4 linked regions of the Caenorhabditis elegans genome follow. The protein of the gene in region 4 interacts with the protein of the main gene of each other region in a pairwise test. Each region holds a gene or a part of one and is shown on either strand. Other genes may lie near its edges.

Region 1 (4,577 bases), on a different chromosome or scaffold from region 4:
TGATAACTCCACAGGATTTCAAATATCTGGCCACTTTTGATTCAGTATCCTTATCAGAACTGGCAGCCAACGCGGAACAAACTAAGAAAACTGATAAAATGATAATAGATTTCATGTTGTTTTCTCGTCGGTTTTTCTTTATCAGACACGTTGCTTTTATATACCAAGTTTAGAGGTCAATTGATATGAATTCAAATGAAAAAAAAACATATGAAAAAGGGTTGGGATCGGGATATTGTAGGTGTGTTTGTGATAAGGATGACGTTCCGAGACCAATTAATTCTACTTTCTGTTCGATTTGTAAACAACGAAATTCTCGTTATCTCGGATTCTGGAAATCTAACATTTACCCTGACCTCGAAAGGACAGGGTTCTCCAAAAATTGTTCACTGGGTCTTTTGCAAGGCCCTGAGAGCGTTTATAAATAGCGGCAATACCACTGACGAGAGGACAGTTATATGCCCGAGTGTCCGGACATCTCGAGGGTTCCGCTCGTCACTATGCTTTACGTGCAAACATGGCACTCGAGTCCCCTAGCCGCAATAAATAAATTTTTTTTTTTATTAACTTGAATATTTGATACAAACATAAACAAAATAAAATGGAACATGAGATCTTATTTTACAGATAATACTGGGGGGATATAAAAACTACTATTATTAAACCACGAATTATTGAGCGCGTTTTTTTGGAATGCGGAATGACCACCAGGCAGGTTTTTCGTGAGGAGTCGGAAAAATCTGAAATATTAACATTTTCATAAAGCTTTATTGATTTAATTTCCGTTGTATAAGGATATTAAAATTTGCAAAAAAAGTTGAAAAAATTCCACATACTTTCTGCTTCTTGCTTCCAGTGATTTCCTGTGACTGTTCAGTGTCCCTGTGTTTTGTTGGCGGTCTTCCACACATTCTACGTGCCGGATTATCTGGAACAAAAACAATTTATCTGAAAATCGGAAAACTAAACTCGATGAAGATTCGGCAGAAAAAAATTCGGAACTACAGTAATCTTTAAAGGCGCACACCCGTTAAACCTGTGCTTAAAACAAGTTTGTCGTGTCTAGACTAAATACCGTATTATTGTAGCCAAAATTGCAAAATTTCGCGAAATTAAATCGTGTCTTTCATTAATGTTGATGTGAGTTTACTTACCACACTGTGAAGTTGGACGATCACTGTTGACAATCACAGAATTTAAAAACTCTAAATCATCGTCGGTGCTTAAATCTTCGTATACTCCTGGTGCTGAAATTTGTAATATATTGGAAAATTGACTTCTCTTGGATTTCCGTACCAAATGCAACTGATTTTTTTGGTTTAGAAGCCACGCTGATTCCTGATCCACTTTTTTTGAGAATTCCAGAATTATTCGACGATTTCTCAATTTGGCAGTTCTTACTCGCATTTTTTTGAGTTTTCTTATTTCCCTTATTGCGTCTATCAGCTTCGTCATTGGAGTCGACAGATTTTTCTCTTTCTTTGGGCTTTGAGGAATACTTGGAGTTAGCTTTCCGGAGCTTTGCCTGGAAAATAATCAGTAAAATTCCATGTTTTTAAAAATTACTAACATAGAAAGGTTCCCTCTTTTTCAAATATTCTCGAAGATTCGAAAAAGCTTCATTCACTACTTCGTCTTGTTCTTTTTGTGGAAGACTCTTGAAACGTGCACCTACTGATCTCTCTGCATTGTCTCGAATTCCTGAAATTAACTATTTAGTTTTTTATTGGAAAACATTGATGTAAAAGCTTTCCTGCAGAAAAATACATAAAATATATTAAAACGAACTGTATCTCGGCAAAAAATATGGGCCATCGGCAATTTTTTTCGATGTATTTCTGTTCTGTGAACGACCGGCGATGCGACCAACTGTTTTTCGTTGTTCATCTGAAAAAAAATCCCAAAAAATGTTCATTTGTAATGTTTAACAATGAATTGGTGTTTATAGAGTTGTTTTCCTCAAAAATAAACATTTATTAAAGTTTTTTTAAATTGTTATTCCGCTTTTAGCATTGAAGCTACTGACGAATTCAAATTTAGCAAGATATAATAGATTAAAAAAATAAATTACCTGTTAATATTATAATATTGTCGTTATTAGAACGAATTCTGGACATTTTCAGCAAAAAAAACCAGATGATAAGTATGCTTTTTCGGGAGAAAAACAGTTTGCTTTATTAAGGTACGATCTTAAAGGCGCATATCGCAAAACGAGAAGATGGTATCGCAACGACTTGCTTTGTTTTGTAGAAACTTATCAGGCCTGGATTGGATTTAGGAAGTAGTTTTCGAATATTAAGACAGAAAGACTGTTTTTTAGACTTTCATTGTTTTAAACTTGCGGAAAGTTTTGAATTCTACACAAAATGAACTAATTTTGCAACAAAAATGGTGTCTTTTGGAAATGGTTCATTAATTACCGCGAATTTGCTCATATTTGAGGATTTTGTAAGAGAATAATTTTGAAAAAAAAACCGTAATTACTGAATATAACAGACTTTTCAGCTGAAAAAAAATTAATATTTGTACAGTTTCCATGTAATAAATGTAGTTAATCCACCAAATCGAACAACTAGACAAATGGCACCTGATTGCTTGCTGAGCAGCTGCCGCTGAAAACGTTTGACGTCACATCCACAATCTTAGTTCTCTCTACTTTGCTTCTAGCTTGTCTGCTGCTCTTTTCATTTTGAGCTCCGAATGTTAATCCAGAACATATTCCTCTTACTTTTTCCAATTTCAACTGTTTTTTCAAGTAATGGAGTGAACTATTTCAAGTCAGAATGTTCATTTTTTCCCGGACGTAGTAATATAAAGTATTGCAGGTTATTTGTAAGTTTTGATGGGTGTCTTTGGCTTTTTTAAATGCTGAATAATTTTAAGGAAGGTGCTAAATATTATTGGAGGCATAATTCAATTGCGTGGAATCCGGAACAGACCAAAAATATGAGTCTTGTTGAACTCAGAAAGCATTGTGATGATTATTTTGTAAGATTTGTTTGTAATACATATGGAAATACAGGCATGTAAAAGTATTCGCTAGATCTTGAGATCTCAGCTCACGATAAAATTTTCAAATAAGTGGGGTTTTGGATATTTTTTTGAATTTAAAAAACAATATTTTTCTAGCTCAGTGTGCTCCATTTCCGCTAAATAAAATTTATTTCGGTACTTCTGTATTATTTCCCCTCATTTTAATATTATCCATTTTAATAAAACGTGATGTCCATTTTCATTCTTTAGGCTTAGAAAGGGTTATTTCCTAAGCCTAAAAATACAAAAACACCACACGTTTTTATTTAAAAGTTTATTTTAAAAACTGAGGGGAAATAATACACAAGTACCTTTATTTCCAGATTTCCACTCAAAACACTTCCAAACAACCAAATTTCATAATAAGAGCTCTTAATAATCGTTCTAAAATGTTTTCAAGTGGTTCAAAATTTCAAATTTTAAAAAGTTAAATTTAGCTGAAATCTCATTTTGACATTTTCACAATGCCTTCAGGTTTGCATGGAAAATACGGGATGCTACATGGATTTTGTCAATTATCAGGAACTGGACAAGTGCATTGATGACGTATTTCATCTAGGACCAATGTATTATTGTGAGAAAACATTGAAGGAAGTTATTGAGAAAACCCCGGATCAAGTTTCTGAATGTGTTAAGGATTATCTCAAAAATGTACTCTTTAGCATTTTGCATTGATTCTGTAAGTTTAATTTCAGAAAAATCCGGACAAAGTCGACTGCGTGAGCATCCAGACAAAAAGTAAATGCTTTCTCGAAGATGTTGGGAAGCATTGTGGTTCTGATTTTTTGAGTCTGTACAAGCAGGTGAAAATTTGATTTTATTAATTTCTGCAGATCTCTTTAACTTATAATGCTACAGCACATAAATATTCGTCTCTACAATCGTGCTTGCGATGGACGTCTTCGATATAAAGATCGGGTTCGTGGAGATGATAATAGCATGCAAAGAGGGATAATTACAAAAGAAGATGTTGAAAGGGATTTCGGAAGTAATTCAACACAAATTTCGGCTTAATTTCAGTTCATTTTTTTCCGAATGGTTTTTTGGCACGTTTTAATAAAACAATTTGAAAAAATTTCGTGCTACATAGAATTCCATTAAACTTCAAGATGCTAGATTATTGAAAAAATATTTATGTATACCTAATTATATGTAGTTCCACGTTGTTGTTTTTTACAAAACTATTTGGAGTTATTAGATTTATTAAAGAAATGACACAGGCATTAAGAAAGAAACTATAGGATCACAGAAGCAAGAAATTTACTCTTTCTTGTCGGCTTTCTTTGTAACCTTGGAACTTGGCGCACTCTGTTCCTCATCGCGGGACAGTGTTGAGCTTTGACTATCACGTATCACGAAACTTCTCGATCTTTTTCTAGCAATCCTATTGTTCCGACAGTCGCGTAAGTGCCTTGTCAGTCGCTGAATAAAATAGTTCTGAAGAATTTCGCATCGAAAGTCGCGTTCTTTCATGTCGAGAAGCTTCCGGCGCTTTGAAACTGCCAGATTGAGCATTATTCTTGGGTGAACTTTCATCGAGGAAT
Region 2 (6,532 bases), on a different chromosome or scaffold from region 4:
GTTTTGTCAAGAACACATCCAAACAACTCGGTTCCTGTGTACTATTGCATCTTGTGACCTACAAACTAGTCAAGGATCTTTGAATTTTTACCATAAGTACCCTTCAATAATATCTCCCAGCTCCACCAATTCAATCAAGTTCAAGATTTCAAATTGATTGATGTCGACAAATTAATTGAGAGTACAACTCGATCCGCCCTCATCAAATCCTAATCCATCACTCGTAATACATCGACCTTCTTCATCAGATCTTCCCTGTTTTTTGTGCACCACTCATCATTATTATCTCTTTCCACCAGACTCTTCTCTTTCAGTCGACTCTTCGGCTCAACTTTGATCCCTTATTGTGACCCGTTGTGGGGTGTTAAAAAAGTTTATTGATGAGTTATGACAAGTCTTTGTGGTGAGACTGAGAACGATGAGGTGGGGGAGGAAGGTATGAAGGTGGAGCCATTGTGTGCACAAAGTGGTTGCTACTGGTGGTGAGTAAATCAACACCTGATGAGCTGTTCAAAAAACAGAAGCAGAAGAAGAACCAGTCACTTTACTCTTTGCAATGTTTTCAGCTTTGCTTTCTTATTTCTATGATACTAGTATTACGTTAGTTTCGCATTATATTTTTTCAGAATTTTAGCTTGAATTTGTTCACTTATAATTCGCATATCACTACATATAACTTGAAATAGAAATGGAAATAGTTAATAAGATAATGATGGAAAGATCAATTGAATGACTAAAAATAAAACAATTAGAACTTCTGAATGAGTTTAGAGGTAGATTATTGGCTACTGGACCTTCGTAACAGTATCTATTTGTAAATACTTATAGTAGTTTTTGTAATTAGTCTTTACTTATACTAGGGCAATACAAAAATATATTCTGAATCGCTACAGTTTGGATGAAATCTCAATAAAAACTAGGCTCCAATTTTTAACCTTTTCCAAGTGTTCAGAAACTTTATTTCTACAGTTTAGAGTTTACTTATATTTTCCTATTCCACTGCATTAATTTTCTCATAATAGAACATGTGAGTAGATAATTTCTATGTGATTTATGTGATACGTTTGGCATATGTTGTACTTTTTCTCAGTTGCACACTTATCAGCTTGTGACCTGGTGGCACTCAACCCTTGCCGTCTCTCGAGATACATTGTACCGCAATAAAGATTTGAAAAACAATACGACATTAGCAAGAGCTGGTCCAAACTTGTGCAAGGTATGAGTGGCGTTTCTATTGAGAAAACACGGTCTACTGTATTTTAAATATCTTGATAAATGTTATTTGCTCTGTTAGTATAAACTTTACCAATTATGTCATTGCCAACAGCTATATTCAACTACGTCACGAATCCTATGTCTCACTTCTTTGCAACAAAAACCCTTGATCTTTTTAATCACATCTTTAAATGAGAGTTGATCTCATTAAACTACTCATTTGCTCAAGAAAATTCTGCACTCAATGCTGAATTGCTTTGTCCGTGTTTAAGTACCTAATTCCATGATCCAGACACATCTTATCTCATTCCGAACATTCCCGAACTTTCGTGTCATCCTTCACTTCACTTTGTCACTTCTCAAAAAGTTGTCGTTTCTTCTTGCTTGTCGACCCAAAAAATCATCGAGATTTTTGCAGGAATGCTGAGTCCTGCATTGCTCAAAGTGTCACTCAATCGAAGGTTCGTCAATGATTTTTTGTAGCTGCACTCATTGTTTGTTTTATGTTTCAATCTTTGTGTTTTCAGAAGCTCCGCTCCTGTACCACAAGATGAGGTGAGCCAATTGGTATTGAAGAAGGATAGAACTCTGATCAAATGGAAAAAAGAGGAAGAAGGGGAGGGGGTTAAGATGGATAAGATGGAAATGCTGGAGGGAAGAAGAAGATGGAAGGTTTCATTGGCGGGTACCTTTGAGAACCATTCCCGTGCTTTGGTCACTTGTCCTGATTTTTTCTTCACTACAACCTGATTTTATGGAGCTATATTCTCAAACAGAAGTTGATAGATAAAGTGTATCACCATTCCGTTTAAAAACTGTATTTGTAAAAGATTTATGTCTCAGTTCCTTAACATTTTTGGTAGTAGTCCTCGAACCTCGAAGCTACAAATAATAATTTGCTCTATTTATATGATACTTCCACTTCAAAACATTCATATTTTAACATAATATATTTATTTCAGAAAATGATGTTCCATTCGCGAAACCGGGCTGCATCATATTTGCAGCCGATGATAGAAGATCAGGAATTGATTGGATTCAACAGAGATAGAAGTGAGTTCATAATTTCTTTTTGCCTCTCTCCCGATTCTCGTAAAAAATGAGAATAAACAGCAAAATGTGTAGTAAAGGTTGAATAACGTGTGAATACCACGATGGCAGCTTCAATGTTCTTCTTTTAAAATAAGTTATTAACTTTATAAAAAAAACCAGAGAACAATTCAGATTGATTCTCAGAAAAAAAAGAATACTTCCGTCTATTTCTAAGTTGTCATAACTATCTTTATCAGGAAGAAGTTCCGGCTCAATAATCGTCGACAGTTTTGAACTCGGAAATGCTTCGCCAAGTCGCCGCGGTTCAATTGCATCTGGCATTCCAATGGACAAAAAAACCCGACGGAAGCTGTCAAATCCGGTAGGTTTTCTATGTTGTTAGCTCCCATCAACAATTGGAAAAACAAAATGAAAGATAAAATGATAAATGCGTTCGAGCATGATACCAATCTGATGAAAAGAAGAAACAATCTATCTCATATTGAGTCGGCATACCAACTGACGTTGGAGTCTCTACTTTTTTGATTTAAACGAAAAAAAGAAAGAAAAGATATCTGAGAGCCGATGATGGTCGTCTTTGATTCACTATTCATCAGATGATCCACTGACGAACATTTTCTCACCTTTCCCTGAGATGTGCCAGCCTATCAGTTTCATTTTTACCGAGTTACCGACCTTTTTTTTTCGTAATTTTTAGTTGCTTTTCGGGGATTTTTTTGACTACGAAATTTTCTCAGTAATTTTTTATTTTTCTTCCTTTGAAGAAAACATTTTGCTCGATTTCCATTGTTGCTCGAGGTTATTCACAGTTTTCTGAATGTGAAAAATTATGAGAAAACGCGGCTCCCATTCTTTCAGACTTTCTCTCAAACCTTCAGTATTTTGAAACATTTCAAAAACTCGCAGAGCATTCGTATTATGGTAACTTGTCCAGGCGACCGGCAGTTAGTTTCATATTCGTCCAATCTTTCCAATCTAGTTTCAGCCGAAAACCACTGCTTTCCCAAGTATACATATATTTAAAAAATAAGAAAAGAGAACTAACTATTAACAGAAAAAGAACGGGTAACTGAATATCCTTCTGCATTTAGTTTGATGTATCCTTCAAAAAGATAAGGAACAAAAAGTGACCAGCACATACATATATCGGATGTCTCGTTTGCAACTTTTGGCCTCCCATCCCATTTCCTGTCACCTCGTGACCTCATCGTTAGATCGAAAACCATTTGAGTGCAGTCAATGTTTTTGACACACTTCAGATACTCGCCATAAATCTTTTGAATCTTACTTCTCCATTCAATCTTTTCGGCTCTATTTCTTCATTTGTTTCTTTCTTATCAATTGTTCACACAGCCTGAAAATGTTCTCCAAGTCGAGCAATCGGTTCGGAACAACTTCTATATTTGGGGATCAGTCTATTAAAGATGAATACCGTAACCGACAGAGACGTCTTTCTCTGATTGGTGGACCTATAAGTGGAACATCTCCAAATCGACGAGAATCACTTGTTCGAGAGTTAAGAACTGTAAGTTCAAAGAGTCTTTAGTCGCCAGCTGTTGTCAGTTCAAGCTTGTTAACAACAAATTACATGGGGGGCCAACATTTGTCAAAAAATTGCTTCCATTTTGTTATTAGTACGAACAGAAATTGAAAAAAAGAAGTAAAAAACTTGAGTCTCAATTTCCTGATTTATTTAGTTCTACCACTAATACTTCAATGTATTTCCTAAGGATACACAGAAAATCTCAAGATTCTATAAAAAGTTGGTATTCAGAGACTAAAATTCATAAAAGACCGGTACGTTTTTTGCATGCCGTTTGGCCCAGTTTGTGTTTTAAACCCTATGTATAGCAATGTTTATTTTTAATGCTATATTTTCACAGTATAATAATTTGAAAATTTTAATTGTATTGTTATATCCGGTCAAAGGTTGACAACAGCCACACAAGCCATGTGTTTAATGTCGTTAACAACAAGATGAATGGGAAATTAATTGCTCCGCAAGCTTCTCCTTCAGAACAATACATTTATTTTCAGGTATCTCTTCATCAATACACAGAAGATCCAACACTTGCATGGGAAATGCTGAAAGAAAAAAGACCAGTGAAACCAGTTCGTCAGATGAGACTTGATACTCCAGTAAAACCAGATCATGTGAGATTTGTATGTATTGGATGTACACATGGAGAACAATTTGATATATCAAAACTCCCACCTGGAGATGTTCTCCTCGTGGCTGGAGACTTCACATCATGCGGTCTTCCAAATGAAGTTCACAATTTTAATAAGTTACTTGGAAAACTGAAATACTCTTACAAAGTGGTGATAGGTGGAAATCACGAATGCACATTTGACGACACATTTTTGAAATTGAGTAAGTTCAACTCCAATAAACCATTAACGATCAATCACCACAACAAAATTTGCAGAACAAGAGTCTGAACCAAAAGAAATGGCACTGAAACAAGCATTGTTATCAGCAATTCATTCTGATTCAAAGGGTGGAATTTCAGCGAAAGTAAGCATGATTTCAATTTATGAAAGTATACAATTTTTTGTAGGATTTGTTATCAAATGCAATTTATTTGGAGGATAATGTAATCGAACTGTTTGGAATCACAATTTATGGAACGCCATGGTAAGGATTGCAAGTTTTCTGAAAAAATTGTGGTAGATTCAAGTCGAAATTTGAAACAATTGTCACCTTCGACAAGTATTATCATTATATATTTTGTAGATCAATAAAAAATATAAGTTCGAATTGAATATTCTTTCTCACAGCATAATTCTATGAGTTCCATATTGAACCCATTGTATCAAAGCACAATTTCAAAAATTGCAGGCAACCAAAAGTAGACAATTGGGCATTCAATCTCTCTCGTGGACAACAACTATTGGACAAATGGAACCTGATCCCGGCGGGCGTTGACGTGCTTTTAACTCATACACCTCCACTTGGTAAGTTCAAAGTACCACAAATAGTAAAACACAAATTTTGTGCAGGACACGGCGATATGATGAACAATGGACAGAGAATGGGATGTGCCGAGTTGTTGAACACAGTTTTCAAGCGGGTTCGACCAAAGTATCACGTTTTTGGACACATTCATGAGGGCTACGGATGCACAACTGATGGATATACAAAGTTCATTAACTGCTGCATGTGTAATGAAAATTTGGATTTAAAGGTGATCATTCGTGAATTTTGACTTATTGAGAAAAATTGGGCATGACTCTGGGACGACTTTATTCAAGCAGCACACAAATTTAGACTATCCATGATTATTAAATTTGACAATTTCATCGTTAAAAATTTTCAGAACGAGCCAGTAATATTCGATATCCCAGTGCACCCTCACACCAAACAATTCTACATTCAAAATGTGAAGAAAATTCATAAAAGATTCCAAAAGAAGAAATAAATTAAATTCCTCTCACTGTCACCTCTGTGTCATTTTGTAGTTATAATTATACCACCACTTTTTAATTTTTTTTGCTCTTTTTCCACACCACGACCATCATCATCTATTTTTCTCACTCATTGAGCCCTCCTCCAACCCCATAAGAACAAAATAATATCCCATCCGGAAATGAGTCTTTATGAACTCGATGCGCAGTCAACAGCACCACAAAAAGAGCAAGAGAAGGTTGATTGTGCTTCTGCTGCGACAGCTTCTGCAACTGCTTCTTCTCGTCTTCCAATTCTTCTTCTTTCACCAAAATTGCTCCCGCTAACCAGCAATAAAACATTCCAATTTGTGAGCCTCTTTCGAGTCAAACATTATGAAATTCAATACCAAATTATGCTGCAACCTCCTCTTTTGCCCTCTGAAATCAGATATTGGCCATGTGTGGTGCGGTTCCGGCAGTGCCGGCTTCTTGCTCCACACAGACAAATCTCTTTTGTTATTCATCGATGTCTTTTCTCAGAGATATCATCAACATTAGACTTTTTTCGATTTTACTGAAATTCATTATTTCTAGACCAGAAATATCTGAAACAGGGTGAAATCTAGTCAGAATGATTTCCACCCAGAGTTGTTTCATATAGTCTGTAATTTTTTAGATACAATATTTTTCTTACGTCAGACAGTATCCACCGTGTCAGTTGAGAATACACATAGGTTTTAGTTTTAAATCACCACAAAAGCTAACAAGCGCCACATTCAGTTGCACGTAGAAATTAATCTCTGACCTAGAATATATGATAGAATAGAAAAAGGAACCAATCCATTAGGAATAATGAAAATTCTTTGGCAATTTT
Region 3 (3,787 bases), on a different chromosome or scaffold from region 4:
CGAATCCATAGATTAAGGCGTTGTTCTTACAAAGTCTAAAATGATAATAAAAGGGATACATTCACTATGAATTATTTTTTCCACTGACTCATAAAATTTCGCGTATGTATGTTCTCTGAGCATCTCGAAAAATGTGGTTTTCTCCTCAAATTTGACAGCAGGCACAACGTATTCGCTAACATGCTTGAGCACGACTTCCAGTCCTTTCAATGAGCACGACACCTTTGCCTCTTTCTTTTTGGATTTTACATTTCCCTCGATTCGTTCTCCATTTAAAATTACAACACATATAAATTTCATGGATCCGTTCGGTTGGTTTCTGTTATAGAAATCAAAAACTGGAGTGTTGCCTGTCATATGAACATAAAGCTCTGAGAATAATGACATTGGATTCTTTCCGCTTCTTTCCACAGTTTCCTTCACAAAGTCGGGAATATTGTCATCCAAATCCATTTTCTCTGACTTTAACTCAACTTCCATACCTTCTTCGACGGACATCTGAATTACGAATAATTTTTGGAACAAAAAGTCCACATGAGGAAATGTGTAACAGTTTTACCTTGAGATATCGAAAAAACAATAGAGCAACATCGACTAGTGAACGATATTTAAGAAAAACATAGAGAAAACATAAAAGTATATAACATATTTTGTTTTTCATCTACAATTCGGAAGTTATCAGAAAAGGGGAACAAATACTAAAACCTCAAAATTAAAAATAAATCATCTGACAACAGAAAACGGAAAAGCGAAAAAGCTACGAAAAAATCAGGTATTTTAAAATGTTCTCTTCTCATTTCCCACAATTCGTATTATCTTAACGATAAAGATATTCGGCTTGAAGATTGGAAGCGAGCTCAGGCTCCCAGCGATCACCATTCAACAAGAGCTTCTCCTTATTATAGAGGAGTTCTTCGTGAGTTTCAGTCGAATATTCGAAGTTCGGGCCCTCGACAATTGCATCGACTGGGCAAGCTTCCTGGCATAATCCACAATAGATGCACTTGGTCATATCGATATCGTATCTAGTGGTACGGCGACTTCCGTCAGGTCTTGTTTCGGCCTCGATCGTGATAGCTTGAGCTGGGCAAATGGCTTCGCAAAGCTTGCAAGCAATGCATCTTTCTTCACCAGACGGGTATCGACGAAGAGCGTGTTCTCCTCTAAAATACTGATTTTTTTGTTAATAATTTTTGTTTTTTTTTAAATTAACTAAATAATTAATATTTTTAATTAAAGAATTTTCGAATATGTGTCGTGTGAAGGTGCAAGTTTGTTCAGTTTTTTGAAAACTATTAAAATACAACCAAAATATGCTTATTTTCTTCCAAGCTGATTATAACAAATGCTTTATGATTTAATTTCAATTTTTAATTTCTGTACCTGAATCTTGAACTGAGTGGTCCCTTTTCGAAGGGATAGTTGATAGTAGCTGGCTCCATGAATACGTGACCAAGCATCACTCCGAAACCTGAAAAATTGACATTTTTCCTTCACACAGTATACTTCAAAATAATTTTGATTCAAATTTAGTTTAAAATTACCTCTGAAAAGTTCGGTGAAGAAAACATTGTGAAGCCCGTAATTCAAATCTCCAGCCAGTGTTCCATCGGTTTCATTGGGCATACCAACGAATTTGTAGTTGGATCTCTTTTGAATTGTGTTGGAAGGAACACTGCTGACGGCAAGCTAAATAATTGATTATTTGAAACGTATATTTGAATGAGAAAATCTCACTTGAGCCGGAATTCTTCCAAACATGCCTTTTGTGAGCACTGCCACACTTTTCATCGCCATTTTGACAGCGTGGTTAAGTTACTGAAAAACGTATTATTGATAGACTACATTTAATTTAATTGGAATGAAGTGTTTATAATAGAAAAACATTGATAAATATAAAATTGAACACGAAAAAATATTAAAAAAGCGAGAAAGACGCAAACATGTCCTGCAGGTGCACGAGAAACGCGCCAACGATGAACCAAGGGCGCAACTTCTGCGTTCCAACAAAGTTTAATTCCCAAATATCTATTTAAATACTTTTAGCCTTTCAATTTATATATTTTATATTGTTATTATGTTTAAATATTTGTCAAATAACATAATTTTATCGTTTAGTGTTTCTAAGCACGCTTATTGTCACAATAATTTTACTTTAATGCTTTGTTTCTTGAGAAATTAGGAAAACTGTTCTCAAGTTTGCTTCCGAATATTTGTTTCTCAATTTACTTCTCATAAATATATATTCTCGGGTCGCTGCGCTCCCCCGAGAAAAGGTTTTCCCTTGTTCCTAGCTCCGTTCGAGAGAAATGAGGTACGAGAAAAGGAGGAAATTGAGTTACAGAATTTATGGGCTTTGCGTGTGGTACAGGTCGTGACAAAAGTAGAAAATTAGGGGCAGTTGGGCGCCAGGCGCCCAACTTGAACGATATGAGGGCCACGAACGGTATAAATTGGGGAAATTTAATGTGCTGACGCCGTCGTGAAGAGCCCGATCGTTCGATGTTGCCGACATGATGTTGACTGTGCAGGAGCTGCTGGTGTTGCTGATGGAGCCGACTGTGCTGAAGTACGTGCTGCAAAAACGAAAAAGGACGGACCGAAAGTACTTATTATTGGTTAAGGTGGCAAAAGAGGTAAAATGGTAAACCAACGTGAATCGATAATCCTGGCAACTCCTGTAGATCTGATACTTGAAGCTCGTCTGCTGCCCAAACAAGGATCGTCGCTTCTCAACCCTCTGTTTTCGCGTTCCACCCACGTGCGAACAATCCGAAATTTCCCTAAATCCTTGACAAGAGCCCGCGAGATCTTTCACTGCCGCTCTCCGTTATGTCTCCTGAATACCTAAAAATGGCGAACTGATCTGAAAACAAATTATGTTAATTAGGATAGTTTATAGTTTGGGGATTATGGCCGTTTCCCATTTAAAAGACCCCGAAAAAGAACTACCTGTAGTCTGTTATGAAGTAATCTCGCGACTCGTGGCCGACCGCGGTTTTCTCCACTCCGTTAGTTATCCTTTCCTTATCCAGGTCTTATCCGAAACTTGAAAACTTGTTCTTGTTGGCTCGCTGGATTCCTTCCCTGCCGTTCCAATGTCACCCTTGATACCTCTAGGGAATTTCCTGTAAACCTTCAACGCCTGCAAATCGCCAAAATTAACCTTTAGGGATATCAATTTTTGGTCGCTATTAAAAAATTTTTAAACCTTTCCTGCCACCGCCAAAAAAGACTGACAGATTACTCCTGCAATTATTTCGGAGGAATCCTGCCTGTCTACTCTGGTGGAATTGCGGAATTTTAAGAATAAGTTACCTGTCCTCGTGTTTGTCAACCTACCCACAATAGCTCGGTGTTAGAACCGCCGCTAGAATAGTGAATATAGAGTAGCAAAAATATCAGTCGAGGGGTGGGCGGGCGGGAACTCACACGTAGAATGAGGAGAAACAGGCGCCGGAGCCCGCGGGGCGCTTGTCGCGGCGAGACCCGTGCCGGAGGAAAATGCCTGCGCCTTTAGTTTGCTACTGTCTCTCTCACTCCGCTGTCACGGGAAAACATCCCATTCTCGGGTCGCTGCGCTCCCCCGAGAAAAGGTTTTCCCTTGTTCCTAGCTCCGTTCGAGAGAAATGAGGTACGAGAAAAGGAGGAAATTGAGTTACAGAATTTATGGGCTTTGCGTGTGGTACAGGGTAGAACAAGAAAAGCCTCGGGGCTATAAGTGACCGTGTGGTTTCAACTAAAAAATTCTAATGAAGCCTCTGTCAACCGATAACGCAAGTCGCCC
Region 4 (3,988 bases):
GGTGAAGATTCGAGCGGGGACTGAAATCAAAAATGTATTAAAATTAAAATTTGACTTATTCTTTAAACTGTTTTTTTTATTTCCACTTTTCTAACACAGAATAAAAATTTCTTCTGAGATTTTGATAAACTTTAAATGCTTTTCAGCTAGTATTACACCGTTGTTTGTAGATGCTGCTTTTTGTTTCTGTTTAAATTAGGAAAAATATAAGCGAAATTTTTTCTAAAAAATCGTAAATTTATTACCTTTTTTCCCTCGACTTCCCCACTTTTTCAGAGAAGAAGCTCAAAAATTCGGAAATGGCAAAATTCTCAACCTGGCACTGCGCATACATTGCCGGAAATGGATAGACAGTTTCAAACGGATCCAAAATCATTTTCACAAGCTCTGCCGAGCACTCTTTTTCAATCCAGGAGCATCGATTCATTGTGCCGAGTCCAACGCTCATTCCAATAGAATCATGGAGAAATGCTGTTAGATAACATTTATCAAGAATTGGTTGTTGCCTTGCAAGTGAAGTGATTATTGAGATGAATAGTTCGAGAATATTGTCAGGATATGATCGAGAATTGCAAATTACGAAGAGCAGAGCGCGGTGGAGAGGAATTTGCTGAAAATTTTTCAATGATTAGAATTATTCTCCAAGTTTTTGTTAGATTTGAACCAACATTTAGCTTATCCCCATGATTTTTTACGGTTTCCGCAATTGTTCCCATTATTCTGAGCTCCACTTTCAACTTTTCTCCGACAAAGAAGCTCTTGAGCGCGGCGACGAACATTTTAGCGATTTTTGTAAAATGGCCCGCTAAAATCGCCTCCTGTACGCTTTTCTGGAAGGTTTCGATGTTTAAATTGATTGTATCTCCAAAATCTTTCCATTGATCATCGAGATTGGGGCGAACGAGATGGCTGGATTGTAGGGATGGATTTGCTGGAAATTTGTTTAATTATTAGGTGTTTTCTGGGAAAAATTGAAAATTTTTACCGGAATTACTTAGCGTTGGCTTTGGTGGAATACAAGTTTTTGATCTAAAATCCAACTTCGCTTTAACTCCTCCAGAAGTTGACGGTCCGCCAGTGCCTCCACTAGTCGTCGGGAGTTTATGGTTCAGTTTCGCCTTTTTCATGTCCTCCGGCTTCATAATCGTATCATTTAGGCGTTTGTGTTTTTTACGTTCCATTATTTATAAGATTCTAAACGAGAAACTCTTAAGATTTTCCGGAAAATAATGATAAAAACGGTTGTGAAATTGAATGAGAATAAAAAAACGAAACAAGCACGAGTGAGGCAGGTGCGCTCCAATGCGAATTTCTTTGCGCGGATGTTTAAATGGTTATTTTTTTATGGGAATCGACAAGTCACATGCTACGCTAGAGAGAGTTTTACATTTTACAGTCTTTTTGGAATTTAATAATATATATATTATCATAAAATCGAATAAAAATTGTTTCGAATAATGAATAGCTTTGTTTTTTCGTCTTGACTTCTGAAATAATTTTAAATTTGAGAAAAATTTGTGTCGCAATATATAATTATTAATATTATTAATAATGTAATTTTTTTATAATAAACTGATTTATATTTTAAAAACAAAAAAGGAATGACAATTCAGTTTAGTTTTATGAAAAACTTTGAAAAGACAAAAATAATTACAGTAAACGCGCTCCGCTAGACTCCCCAAATTTGTTTTTGTTTTCCAGGCTTGTGTCCAGGCAAATTCCAGCTTTCTTTTTGTTTCAGAATTTCTAGGTATTTATCTCCGTGAAAATGAGCGGTAAGATTGACAATCTCGAGTTTGTATTAAAATTTATTAAATTTCATTTCAGAAAAAAATACCGAAAATCCAGAAATTCTATCAACAGTCTTGGCTGGGTACTGCCAGTGCCAAGTCTGCTATCAGGTACTAATTTCCTAGTTTTACTCAATTTTCTACAAAATATGTTTGCAGCCTTTTAATGAAACCACAAAATTGGCTCGGTCCTTGCACTGTGGCCACACTTTCTGCACAGAATGCATCAGAAACGTGCAAAACTACGGTAATTCCCCACATTTAGAGTGCCCTACTTGCCGTGCGGAAACTAAAAGCAACATCGAAAATGTAGCACCAAATTTTTCAATTATGGGTAAGTTTTACCTCTTTTGAGTATTGAAATCCACGTTTTTTCTCAGAATTGGCAAGGAATTTCGGGCTTCTGGGTCCTCCAGTTGACGCTCCGCGAACTTCCTCTAGTTGCTGCTCAAATAAAACGAATAGAGATGAAATGATTGATAATAAATTCCGCGAGCTGCTTGTTGAAGTAAAAAGCAGTCTCATTCACCATTTTGACGTTTTCCGCATCAAATCACAGCTATGGAGTCTAGGCAAAGCCAAATGTGTATAAGTATTTTCTATAAAAACTGAATTTTTTCAGCAGAAGCCGAGCGAGAGGTCAGCAACATGGCTGAAGCCTTGGCAGGGGCTGTTTCTGAATGTTATTACGATTCTGACGACAATTCTGATGCGAATTCTGAGGATCAGCGAGTTCGAACTATGCTAAGGTTCTTGGCAGCAAGAGTTAGTTGATATTTTCCATGCTCCCTTGATTTGAAAATTTTCAGGACAGCGATTCTGAGACTACAGAAGACTCAACAGATTTTCTAGAATCAAATACTACTGTCCCGGACAGAACACTGGGTGGCGGTTTCTATCGCAATTTTCGTCGTCTTTTTGGAGACGTTAGTTTTCATCGAGTTAAACATTTAGAATAGAAAAAATCTTTCAGGAAAACGAACTAGATGATCCAGGTGTGGTTTCAGGTATTGAGGAGGCGGCCGCCTACCGACGTTTTCGAGGACTTTTTGGAAATGTAAGTGTCACTGTCGACAAGTTTATATTTTAGAAAAAATGTTTGCAGGACAACGACAGCATTTCGCAGGTTTCCACAACTTCCGGCAGTTTTGGGAATCATGAGAATGATCATTTTTGTCCGTTTTCCGATGACGTTAGTAGGACTTTGAATTCGATTGTTAATCTTTTTTCTAATTCAGGATAATATCTCCGAATGTTCCGATGACTACTATCCCACATTGGTTATGCCTGAAACAGATGAAGAGGAGACGTACAAAAGTTTTCGCTGCCTTTTTGGAGATGTATGTAAATTTATTGTCAGACGGCTATTTTTTAAACTAAAACAGCTGAAATTAAGAAAAAAATTCCAGGAAAACGGGAACCTCGACTTTTCCGACGACGAAAAAGAATTCTCCGACAATGAATCTTCACTCAGCTCAGTTTCCACTGAAGACTTTCCGAATTCGCACATAGAAGAAGCCGGCAGAGTTCTTCACAGATTTCTTCTGCTCTCTGCTCTTCTGAATGAAGAATAAATTACTATATAATTCAATTTTATCCCGTCTCCGCCTGAAATTTTTGTATTGTTTTACATGTTTTAATAGAGAAAATAAAGATCTCTTCTTGTTTTCCCCTGAAAAATCTGTGCGATTTCCTTTATTTTATTTTCGCTTTTGTTTCTCTTCAAAAGTGTTTTTTTTTCTCATTCAAAAATTCAGGACTTTCAAGGGAACCACATTTATTTGGAAAGGTCTCGCCGCGAAATCATAATTCAAACATGGTTGTTCATGTGCCTTTAAGATTACTGTAGAAAGTTTTGGAAGAAGTTTTGAATTTTTTTCTCCTTTCTTTCCCAAAAATCACCTACTTAATTTAGCATTTTCAGCCATAAATGTCCGCAACAAAAAGTGAAATGCCTGCGGATGTGGCATCTGTAACAGGTAATTTTTCGTTTTTATAAGATCTGGTTCCAAAATTCGAAAATTCCAGATAGTTCGGCTGCGTCGCCTGCATTCCCGCTGATAGGTGATTTTCTCGAGGAGTTTCTCAAATGCCAAGTCTGCTGCACTGTGAGTGCCCCACTTGTTTTATTGTTCAAAAATTAAACTTTCCAATTTAGAATTACAATGAGACGACAAAGCTGGCTCGTGGTTTGCATT

The links.
Region 1: the proteins of rnf-1 (region 4) and him-5 interact in a two-hybrid assay, tested with the Caenorhabditis elegans proteins (one large-scale study listed by BioGRID).
Region 2: the proteins of rnf-1 (region 4) and T07D4.2 interact in a two-hybrid assay, tested with the Caenorhabditis elegans proteins (one large-scale study listed by BioGRID).
Region 3: the proteins of rnf-1 (region 4) and ndus-8 interact in a two-hybrid assay, tested with the Caenorhabditis elegans proteins (one large-scale study listed by BioGRID).

Annotation. Positions count from the first base shown.
Region 1 is NC_003283.11:14,088,421-14,092,997, reverse strand, and holds him-5 (High Incidence of Males (increased X chromosome loss)), read right to left. Parts: upstream 2,573-4,577; 5' UTR 2,118-2,572; coding exon 2,072-2,117; intron 1,888-2,071; coding exon 1,789-1,887; intron 1,702-1,788; coding exon 1,571-1,701; intron 1,526-1,570; coding exon 1,297-1,525; intron 1,248-1,296; coding exon 1,155-1,247; intron 929-1,154; coding exon 837-928; intron 741-836; coding exon 672-740; 3' UTR 544-671; downstream 1-543. Other genes in the region: D1086.3 (T20D4.11-like domain-containing protein), read right to left, coding at 1-115; D1086.5 (T20D4.11-like domain-containing protein), read left to right, coding at 2,701-2,832, 2,884-2,988, 3,508-3,684, 3,729-3,836, 3,892-4,047; D1086.19 (uncharacterized protein), read right to left, coding at 4,294-4,577.
Region 2 is NC_003280.10:8,869,044-8,875,575, reverse strand, and holds T07D4.2 (UPF0046 protein T07D4.2), read left to right. Parts: upstream 1-1,633; 5' UTR 1,634-1,635; coding exon 1,636-1,676; intron 1,677-1,742; coding exon 1,743-1,770; intron 1,771-2,177; coding exon 2,178-2,268; intron 2,269-2,504; coding exon 2,505-2,629; intron 2,630-3,621; exon of another isoform or gene 3,622-3,628; coding exon of another isoform or gene 3,629-3,793; intron 3,794-4,305; coding exon 4,306-4,642; intron 4,643-4,697; coding exon 4,698-4,786; intron 4,787-4,829; coding exon 4,830-4,906; intron 4,907-5,110; coding exon 5,111-5,226; intron 5,227-5,271; coding exon 5,272-5,456; intron 5,457-5,588; coding exon 5,589-5,690; 3' UTR 5,691-6,027; downstream 6,028-6,532.
Region 3 is NC_003281.10:7,232,385-7,236,171, forward strand, and holds ndus-8 (putative NADH dehydrogenase [ubiquinone] iron-sulfur protein 8, mitochondrial), read right to left. Parts: upstream 1,819-3,787; 5' UTR 1,798-1,818; coding exon 1,738-1,797; intron 1,690-1,737; coding exon 1,545-1,689; intron 1,472-1,544; coding exon 1,384-1,471; intron 1,164-1,383; coding exon 818-1,163; 3' UTR 542-817; downstream 1-541. Other genes in the region: Double-stranded RNA-specific adenosine deaminase adr-2, read right to left, coding at 1-35, 89-498.
Region 4 is NC_003279.8:6,009,251-6,013,238, reverse strand, and holds rnf-1 (RING-type domain-containing protein), read left to right. Parts: upstream 1-1,652; 5' UTR 1,653-1,768; coding exon 1,769-1,775; intron 1,776-1,827; coding exon 1,828-1,901; intron 1,902-1,949; coding exon 1,950-2,124; intron 2,125-2,170; coding exon 2,171-2,362; intron 2,363-2,412; coding exon 2,413-2,555; intron 2,556-2,599; coding exon 2,600-2,716; intron 2,717-2,763; coding exon 2,764-2,847; intron 2,848-2,895; coding exon 2,896-2,982; intron 2,983-3,028; coding exon 3,029-3,130; intron 3,131-3,199; coding exon 3,200-3,364; 3' UTR 3,365-3,457; downstream 3,458-3,988. Other genes in the region: ints-1 (Integrator complex subunit 1 RPB2-binding domain-containing protein), read right to left, coding at 1-20, 246-610, 669-931, 986-1,181; C06A5.8 (RING-type domain-containing protein), read left to right, coding at 3,721-3,769, 3,819-3,898, 3,949-3,988.